Saccharomyces cerevisiae S288C: one gene and its partners. Changing the gene in region 1 together with any one later gene gives a genetic interaction. Each region holds a gene or a part of one and is shown on either strand. Other genes may lie near its edges. The genes, in order: YGR127W, USV1 and YCL049C.

Region 1 (3,296 bases):
ACCTGTCCTGCCTATATTGTTATTTGCATTAAAGCAGTACCGACCCGATATAATATCTGAAGTTCAAAAAGTAAGAGAAAAGGAAATCAAGTTTTGGGCACAACTCTGCCCCTACTTCACCAGGCGCAGATTAGCAAGTCAATCACATTTACTACATGCAGACAACATTTTTTTCCTTGTGGAAACAGGTATGTTGAAGGCAACATATGAACTACCACAAGGAACCTTGTACGAGATTTTTTCAAATGGCACATGCTTCGGAAAAATCATTGCGCCAGGGAATGCTATGCCTAGAGAACAAAAGCTCACCATCGAAACTGAAACTGATTCCGTATTATGGGTTATAGACTCTAGCTCGTTGAACAAATTGAAAGAAGACAATCTAGCATTGTACGTGGAGGTTGCATTAATGGTCATGTGTATCAAGGACACCAGATTCAAAGAATTACTAGGTTACACACTTGTTAGCGCATGAGAGCGTACACGTATATTTATTTAATTTCTTTTATTGCCGGCGTATTGCAAGTAATTTACACCAGTACTAAATAAAAGCAGGATGCTCCTGCATCTGTATAAGTGATGCCGTTGTAGGATTTTTACCATCTCGACTATAAACTTTTTGTACTTGAGTCTTCACTTCCGGAATTTTACTGCGCGATTTTCTTTGATAGGGCCCCTATCGTAGACGAAAAGTGATAATTCCCATCGATGAGCAACTACATACCTCACTTGACTTAATTGCTCTCCTAAAGAAAAAAAATACCGTTACTTTTTTCATTAATATACTACCACAACAATTCACAACGGGTAGTTGTACGGTTAGTTTATATCCGCATTAACAAATCAAAGTCATAACAACGTATCAACGTAGACTATGCCTGTCCCATCTGTTACTGTCACTACCGATAATGAATATGAAGACATATCGTCCTTTTCTTCTATTGACTCTTACAAACCGGAGCCCTTTACTGGGTTCAAAGATTCTGAAGCTCCAGAACAGCCTCTTTTAAAAAACGATACCATTGTTGGAAAGGGGCAACTGGAAGATGATAGTAATGTAGATGATCAACACCGTCATTCAGATGTGCATTCTCATCACAGTTCTAGTACTTTAAAAAGGCCAACTTCAAATTCGATAGAAAAGATGGTTACCCACAATGCTTTAGAGGGCAACTCAGAAACAGTTGATTCCTTAAAAGAAGATGGTTTAAATTTGAACAAGAAAGCTCTTCCGGATATTACCGCCCCAGTAACAAACTCAGCTCACGATGCTGCATTTCCAGAAGAGTATCGTTTAGAAACTGAAACCGGGTTGGTCAAATTGAAGACGCTTGAAAGTTTGAAGAGGGAGGACTCTCGCGTATCCTCAACTAAAAAAGAGCATATTAACGACCATACAGATATGCATTCGACACGATCCAAGGTTACTACAAATTCTCAAGGTTCTTCTCTAGAACCAAACAAGTTGAACATGGCAGTAGAGAAGAATAAGAAGAGGATCGAAAAATATCAAAAACATAAATCAGAAAAGGGGATCAAGGGGTTTTTTCATAGAATTTTCGATTAAGTGGCATAGCAACATTTAGTTCGCAATGCGTTTACTTCAGAATCATTCTTTTTTTTTTTTTTTTTTTTTTTTTGCCTCACATTATATTCTTGGCATCTGCCTAGCTTTCGACTTTTTCGTTCAATTCCTAAAGCGCTAAAAAAATAGTCTCCCCCTGAAAGTGGAGTAGGATAGTAGTATATGAAGTGAGGCAGAAAAGGAAAGAAACGCTTGCATTTATTAACACACCTGTGGCTAAAGTATTAAAAACCAAAAACTAACGAACAAATAATGTGCATTTTAATGGCCACAAGGGCACATCCTGACTATGAACTCATCTTAATATCTAACAGAGACGAATTCTTGGCAAGAAAAACACATGCTACATGCTGGCATAACAATGATTTTATCCTTTCACCCTACGATCTGGCCAAAACCTCAGCAGAAAAACAAATATTTGGCACTTGGTCTGGCATAAATAAAGAAGGAAAATTAGCCACTATTCTTAATTTAAAACTTGACAATGAGCAAAATAATACGAAATCAAGATCCCGTGGTCTGTTACCATTTATATTTTTGTCGATCCATAAAGCAGATTTTGAAGATTGGGATAATTACAAAAAGTTTGAAGGTCACTATGATGGGTTGAAGTCCACAGGTGATTTTAATTTTTTTTACGGCGACGTTATCAAAAAGCAATATAAAGTTATTGATTCTCTAGGAAGAACTTTTGATGTGTTGAGTTCTACCTGTAGGAAAGATCTTGATTCTTACATGGTTGTTTCTAATGGTAAATTTTATGACAGCTCCAGTATACCAGGGCAGGCTTGGGAAAAAGTAAAGGTAGCACGTGATAGTTTAGAAAATCTAGTTTTAGAGAATATTGAATCAGATGAGGAGAAAATAATATCAAGTTGCTTTCAACTCGCCTCGAAGTCTTCCCTTCCAAGCACTATTTCAAACCCAGATGTCTTGCAGATGGTAGATCCAAATGTAACCATGAATACCATATACGTACCACCTTTACGGAGGCCTCCCAGGGATGACTTAGGTGCCTCAATTCCTGATGGTGATTACTACGGAACTCGCTCTCAAATAGTTTTACTCGTGAGTAAGGATTCAACGAGAGTTACCTTTATAGAAAGGGTCCTTTATAGCTCAGATGAAGACGTGCGCAAGTATTCGGTAACCTCACCTAAGGAGGAAAAAAGGTTTAAATTCAAATTGTAAAAATCACAATCTTCCATTTTATTTCAAACTAGCTTTAAATTCCATCTTCTTCCCCTCAGAACATTCCGGTATCTCTTGTTGGACACATCTAATGTATATGATGTTTTCAAATTCTAAATGCCTGTTAGTTTATCAGTAACCACAGTAGACGCTATATATATTAGTTCCTTTTCTATATAGGTATTATACAATACAATCAAATTCATTGCATACTCAAATGTCCAAGTATTCCATGGTGTAAGTGGGTAAGGCTCGCTTCTGAGAAGTTCCGTTATCAAAGGTTGAGCTAGCAAACCCATGCTGAAAACCTTTCGTATCAATCAAATTCCACAATTCGGTATTTCTTTCAGCAATCTCAACTTGTTTGTCAATATATAAGGTTAAGTTCTCCAATAGAGCACCTTCTAATGAAAATAGCCCGATAGAATCTAGCACAAGGGACAAGAGTTGAAATAGCTGCGTGCTTTGGCTAGGGTTGAAGCATTCTGGTGAGCTGTCTTCACCACCGCTTGTTATGAAC
Region 2 (3,719 bases), on another chromosome or scaffold:
GAAGCATTTGGGTAGATCTGAAGGTAATCCCGTCATTGGTGTTTTCCAAAAGTTCTTGACTGGTCATCCAAAGGGTGCTGCTGGTGCATGGATGATGAATGGTGCTTTGCAAATTCTAAACAGTGGTATTATTCCAGGTAACCGTAACGCTGATAACGTGGATAAGATCTTGGAGCAATTTGAATACGTCTTGTACCCATCCAAGACTTTAAAGACCGACGGTGTCAGAGCCGTGTCCATCACTTCTTTCGGTTTTGGTCAAAAGGGTGGTCAAGCTATTGTGGTTCATCCAGACTACTTATACGGTGCTATCACTGAAGACAGATACAACGAGTATGTCGCCAAGGTTAGTGCCAGAGAGAAAAGTGCCTACAAATTCTTCCATAATGGTATGATCTACAACAAGTTGTTCGTAAGTAAAGAGCATGCTCCATACACTGATGAATTGGAAGAGGATGTTTACTTGGACCCATTAGCCCGTGTATCTAAGGATAAGAAATCAGGCTCCTTGACTTTCAACTCTAAAAACATCCAAAGCAAGGACAGTTACATCAATGCTAACACCATTGAAACTGCCAAGATGATTGAAAACATGACCAAGGAGAAAGTCTCTAACGGTGGCGTCGGTGTAGATGTTGAATTAATCACTAGCATCAACGTTGAAAATGATACTTTTATCGAGCGCAATTTCACCCCGCAAGAAATAGAGTACTGCAGCGCGCAGCCTAGTGTGCAAAGCTCTTTCGCTGGGACATGGTCCGCCAAAGAGGCTGTTTTCAAGTCCTTAGGCGTCAAGTCCTTAGGCGGTGGTGCTGCATTGAAAGACATCGAAATCGTACGCGTTAACAAAAACGCTCCAGCCGTTGAACTGCACGGTAACGCCAAAAAGGCTGCCGAAGAAGCTGGTGTTACCGATGTGAAGGTATCTATTTCTCACGATGACCTCCAAGCTGTCGCGGTCGCCGTTTCTACTAAGAAATAGAGAGAGCACTACGTAGTCCCTCTTTTAATATGTAACGTGTCGCTTCTATTTATCAGACATAATAGTAATTACTTTGTTATTTTTCTATCGTTTCCTTACTTTAGCCTCTGATTTCGATCTGGCCTAATCATTGTGTACGTCTATAATCATATGGCCCTGAGCGTACACACCGTTCAATTCTTCTATTTGGTCGGCCCACACAAATTCGCGCGGGGGCATATTGACGCGTGGAAGAATAGAAGTCCGCGTAGCAGCTCTGGGGTAATTAGGCTTTTACGATATCGGCTGGCCCAGCACCGGTTTTTATTCCTCCCGTGGTTGTTGTCTCTACCGTGAGGAGGGGAAAGGGTCAGGGACGGCCGGTAGTTATGTTGTCTCAACGATTACTGCCATCTATTGTTTACACCAATCGCGTGGGGCAAGGGGCTGGAAGGCTGTGGTGTACAGAATAGGGTCTAATACCCGATGCGCGACGCTCCTGCGACTGGTTGTGTGAGCCACCCCTTGATCGCCTCTGCCAAATACTCAGGGAAGAGAAAAATCGCGAAGGTGGACGAGTGCCCTTAAAGAACCAGCATCCTCGATCGCCGCTGCCGTTCGCCCTGGCTTAGCGGTGGGAAGCATCCTTTGGCTTTCGAATTCTCCGCCGTTGAGTCCCCCTAAGGGCCTTATTTATCCCCTCTATTTTTTTTTAGAAAATGTTTTCTTTTTCAAGATTTGTTTGCTCCTTCACGGCTTCCCCCTTAACCGTTCAACAGTCTTCCGTATATAACAATCTCAATCCACTCTTATTGCCTATAATTTTGATTAATTCTTATTCATCCCGGCAGATAAAGTTTCGTCTTGTTTTGAAAGAGACAGGAGTTCTTGGCTGCAGTATTTTGCAACAGCTTCATTAACCATGTATGTAAAGAAAAAATCTGGAGCGACTTACTGGCTTAGCTTTTTTTACTAACACATAAATAATACTGTGATAAGATAAGAAAAAAACACGAAATGGAAAATACCACGAATCGTAATACTGCAGGCGTTCTTACGAGCAGCAATGGTAACTTTGCCACCAATAGTGTAGCGGCATCAACTCCGAAGAGGTCCAAAAGTGCTCGAAGGAAAACGTTCAAATGCACCGGATATGACGGTTGTACGATGTCCTTCACTAGAGCGGAACATCTTGCACGTCATATAAGAAAGCACACTGGTGAAAAGCCGTTCCAGTGTCCTGCATGTTTGAAATTCTTCAGTAGAGTTGATAATTTGAAACAGCATCGGGAATCGGTCCATGCACATAAAAACCACCATTCTACCAGCTCGCACCAGCGTAAGCCTTCCTCTTCATCTTTATCCTCCTCTTCTTCTGCATCTTCTTCGTCTTCTGCTTCATCATCTACATCATATAGTGATCCTTACAGGAAAACTAATATTAATAGCGGGAACATGCCGATGATGGCAGAAAACGAAAAAGCGCCCCAAATAATACATTCTTCGCCGGAGTTCATTACTAGCACGAGAAGCATCCCACCCATCTCTCCAAGGTCCATTTATAATACCCAACGACAGCAACAACACCAACAACAACAGCATCAACAGGCTCCCTATTATTTTCCTTCCCATCCAATCACTGATAGTTACTACCAGTATCCTCTTCCCAGTAATAATAACACCATCAATTATTTACCATCAGTAGATGTGCAGTATCCTTTGAATGTGAGCCCCTCCTCAACGAGCCATCCGGCCTCTGAGGTAATCATATCGTCCTTTCCTCCGAGGTCCATGCCAAGTACTTCCTTCAAATATAAAGATTCTGCCGACTTTCAAGCACGGACAACTATGAACAAATACAATATTAGACCAAGCAATATCAATGTCAATACTAGTAATATCAATAACCATCTTGATTCATTCTCCCCGCCGTTTTCTCCGTCAACGACAGTTGCTGAAGCAAAACCAATTATTTTACCACAGTATCAGCAGGCATTTAGCCAACCACCAAATGGAAATAAAAACAATAATATGTCTTCCTCGAAGAATGGCGGCAAAGGGGGAGAAAATTTCAAGAATACTGATGATCGCAATGATAATAATAACAAAAAGAGGTCGGAAACTTTATCAGAGTCTGATATTTCGGTCAACACCAATAAGAAAAGGCTTAGTGTTGATTACATATTGACTTGATCGAGGCAATCTGATCTAAGTTTCAAATATTCCGTAGAGTATAAATATCTTACAACTAATATAATTCTTAATATGCGCAAACAAATTATGGTGCGCATCTTTTTTTATTTTTATGTTTTGTTCCATACTAAATGCAGTTTATAAAATTTTTCAAATGAGTCAAGCTATGTATAATCAGTGCTACAAAAATGATAAGATGCAATTGCAAGAAAAAATCCCTTGCATAAAGGGCTTTCTGACCTCTTGCGTTGATCAACGAGAAATAACCGCAAAACTTAATTTTAAACTCCCGCGTCTGCTTTACACAGCCCACAGTAGCATCAAAAACTACGATGTAACACTAACGGTGGATTGTGAATACGGAACGAACAATCCTGCATCTTGACTTCAAAACTTGATCATATACACCTATACCGCCATGGTTATCTCGCCCTTACGCTCACCCGGACCCCCGTTAATTGCAATAATAAGAAAAAGAAAAGAAAGAAGCTTTTTATCTCATTTCACTGACAAGATGACGCTTTTTCCGATTTTAGCAGATAAACTATCACATATAACCACTTTT
Region 3 (3,441 bases), on another chromosome or scaffold:
ACAGTATTTCAGGCCGCTCTTATAAAATGACATGTTAACAAACAGTTCTGATTATTCGCCTTTTGACAGGACGATAATGTAAATAGTTGTGGTAGTATCATTCAGGTATGTAACTGTTTACTTTGTATCGCTTGAAAAAAATAAGCATTTCAGAGCCTTCTTTGGAGCTCAAGTGGATTGAGGCCACAGCAAGACCGGCCAGTTTGAATGCTCAACTCTTCAAAAGAAATTCCTCAAATATGTCCAGTTTCATGTACTGTCCGGTGTGATTTATTATTTTTTATTTACTTTGTAGTTCTTAAAGCTAAGATTTTTTTCTTTGATAAATTCTTGTTTTCATATCCTAAAATTAAAGGGAAAATAAACAATACATAACAAAACATATAAAAACCAACACAATAAAAAAAAGGATCAAATACTCATTAAAGTAACTTACACGGGGGCTAAAAACGGAGTTTGATGAATATTCACAAGATAAAAATCATATGTATGTTTCTGATATATCGATATACAATCAAACACTTTCAAGAATTTGTTTGTAGACTTTTTGCTAGAGACCTCATCAAAGTGCTACCAACTAAGATCAACTTATACTTCTTTTAGAGAAAATTTTTTTCAATGTACTCCAAAGAGATTTAGATCCTGTCTCTTCCTCTTCCTCTTCCTCGAAAGTCAAAGAAAAATCAGAGTCTCCCTGCTTATTCAGGCGGAGAGGCTCTAGGGTAGTTGCGTTTCTCTCATTGGGACACTGAACCTCATTTTCCAACATTTTGGTCATGTAAGAGGCGACAGGCTCATCGCAGGTGGGTGCATCAACATGGTAGTACCTGGACCAAGCGCTACATTGAGTCCCTCCTGGATAAACACCGCTACAATATTGTCTTTGGACGTTTGCCCAAACCATATCTTTTGAATACCAAAGCTGGACCACATTGTATGGCCTAATCATTGGTGCTACCATAATACTGGATTGGGAAACAGTCTGGTTAATTTTTTTCAACCAATTTTTCTTATCTAGCAATGATTTAATAAACCTGAAATCTAAATTGTCTTCGTTAGCGTCTGTGTCATAATCTACAATTGAGTACTGTGACGTCCAATTATATGGCACCGAGATGGGGAATCTGTCCGGTGTTTCGTCGCTGTTATCCTTCTCCTCCCTCCAAATGCAGTCAGAGGCAGGTGCCCATTCGGTTCGCCAGTCTCCGTTATTTACTACTTGGTACTGTTCCCAATCGTAATACGTTTCCTCTGGGTTGAAGATACTTGCTCTGCTCTTGACATTGCCCATAGCCACACCACGAGAAACATCGTGGAAGATTACGGAGCTGTTTACGATAGCAGGAGCAATGGATTTGACGAATGACACTTGATAAAAGTCTTTGGTCGAAAATACAGTATCAACGCCGTCGTGGGACTCGACCCCTGGTAGAAGAAGCAGAGCATCTAGATCAACGGTAGATGCTGCAGAGGTCAAAGCCACAAAGAGGGAAGATGCAGTTACGAGGTATTTACTAAACATTGGTTCGAAGTGATTACAGATTTTTCTCTCTTGAACCCTGGAATTGCAATAGCTTGGTTCCTATTGGGACCGGACCCTCTTGCGTAAAGTATATATTTAGAAGCAGCTATTTAAATCTGAATGCAAGACGAAAAAAAGCTCGTTTATAGGAGAAAAATACCAAAAAAAGGAAAACCATACACATTCGGGTATCCCAGCTTTGCTTGCAAAATCAATCGATGAGCAAGACAAACAGGGCCAGCTGATGCATATGTTTTGTGTTGCTTTCCTACGATCAGCTAATGCGAGTGTTATAAATATTCCCCTAGTTTTCTTCTCCTCCTTTATGTAACAATAACTTGTGGACTTCCCCAACATAAGACTAAAAGCAAAGGGATAACAAGGGATTTATCTTATTCCATCCCTTTGCCTAGCGCACTGTTACGCAGCTGATCTTATCAACAAGTGTGGTTCTTGCCTCTAAGATTTACATTGCCTTTTCCCAAAGGGAAGGTGGGACAAAACTCATTTTCCCTAAGGGGAAACGTAAGATACCCTTTAGGGAAGATAAGGGAAGTTAGTAGATTGACGACGTAAATCTGTGATGAGATGAAAAAAAAAGATTAGCATCTATATAAGAAAGTACATAACCTCCATTTAAGTTGAAAAAAATTTGTATGTAATGTCTTTTCTTCCTCTTTTCTTTATTTCATTCTCACCGCTAAATCGATAACGGCTAAAACAATTAAAGCTCCCTTTTCAAACCTTATACTTCCGTTAAATAATGCAAATCAAAAACATTGTCGCTGTTCTAGCTACAGTCACTGCTATCAACGCCCAAGTTGGCATTGAACCTAACGCCACTACTCCAAATGCTACGCAGCCAAATGCTACGCAGCCAAATACTACTCTTCCTACCGCTTCGGTGACTACGACAGTTTCGATTGGCGAAGCCGTAGTTAATACCATGGCGGCGGGTGCCTTTGGAGCAGCAATCGCTGCCGGTGTTGCCTTCTTATTCTAGGAACATTTTTATTTCCTTTATTTTTTTCTTTCTTTCTAATTCCATAACCGTTGTTCAAAATTGGGGAGCTTTTTAACTTTCGTTCCATTAAGCTTTTTCTTTGTTCTTTACGTTTGATTCTATTTCAACCATAATTTATTTTTTCGTTATTTAATAATTACTAATATTTAATACTAGATGTATATACGTTGTGTGTATGCGCTACTATAGTATAGCTTAACTGTTTTATTATACCCTTTTTTTCTCTCTTTACTGTACAGAAGATGCGTCACTAATTCAAAAAAAAAAAAAAAAAAAAAAATATAAAAAAGAAAGATTTTGGAGAAGCTATATCCTTTTGTGACATACAATAGAGAAACTTGTTCTGTTGGTAAGATATCTCATCTGAAATACAACAAGGAAAACCAAAAGCCATTTTTTCATTACTTGATCGACTTATGAACCGTATTACTAGGAAAAGTTGTTTATTCGCGATTATATTTGCATCATTATTTGTGACACATGCATTGGGTGCCGCTATTGATCCGCCAAGGCGACCACATAATGTGAAGCCTTTTCATAACGGTAATCTCGAACTTCAAAGAAGAGCAAATGAACCGTTTTTTGAAATAGATGTCAAGAGTCTGAACACAAACTCACCGATATCAGAGTTGTGTAAAAAAGATTTGCACGTCATTGAATCGTCTCATGATCTTTTTCATTTACAAAACCAATGTGAATTCATCTTGGGGTCATTAAAAGTCACAAACTATGATTCTAACATTTTGGATTTGAACAGCTTGAGGGCCATTGGTGGTGACCTGATTATTCAGGATTCACCTGAACTGATCAGAATCCAAGCCGGGAACTTGAATAAAATCGAAGGGCTCTTCCAATTACAGGGACTAACCTCTTTGGTTTCTGTTGAAATTCCAAC

What was found.
Region 2: mutations in YGR127W (region 1) and USV1 together harm fitness more than expected from each alone (negative genetic interaction), as found in Saccharomyces cerevisiae (one large-scale study listed by BioGRID).
Region 3: mutations in YGR127W (region 1) and YCL049C together harm fitness more than expected from each alone (negative genetic interaction), as found in Saccharomyces cerevisiae (one large-scale study listed by BioGRID).

The regions. Positions count from the first base shown.
Region 1 is NC_001139.9:744,961-748,256, forward strand, and holds YGR127W (uncharacterized protein), read left to right. Parts: upstream 1-1,837; coding exon 1,838-2,776; downstream 2,777-3,296. Other genes in the region: VSB1 (Vsb1p), read left to right, coding at 1-475; YGR126W (uncharacterized protein), read left to right, coding at 875-1,567; UTP8 (Utp8p), read right to left, coding at 2,990-3,296.
Region 2 is NC_001148.4:113,334-117,052, forward strand, and holds USV1 (Usv1p), read left to right. Parts: upstream 1-1,978; coding exon 1,979-3,154; downstream 3,155-3,719. Other genes in the region: trifunctional fatty acid synthase subunit FAS2, read left to right, coding at 1-982. UniProt on the Saccharomyces cerevisiae protein: Transcription factor that participates in the transcriptional activation of glucose-repressed genes during exponential growth in non-fermentable carbon conditions. Also involved in salt-stress response.
Region 3 is NC_001135.5:39,203-42,643, forward strand, and holds YCL049C (uncharacterized protein), read right to left. Parts: upstream 1,523-3,441; coding exon 584-1,522; downstream 1-583. Other genes in the region: YCL048W-A (uncharacterized protein), read left to right, coding at 2,286-2,525; SPS22 (Sps22p), read left to right, coding at 2,963-3,441.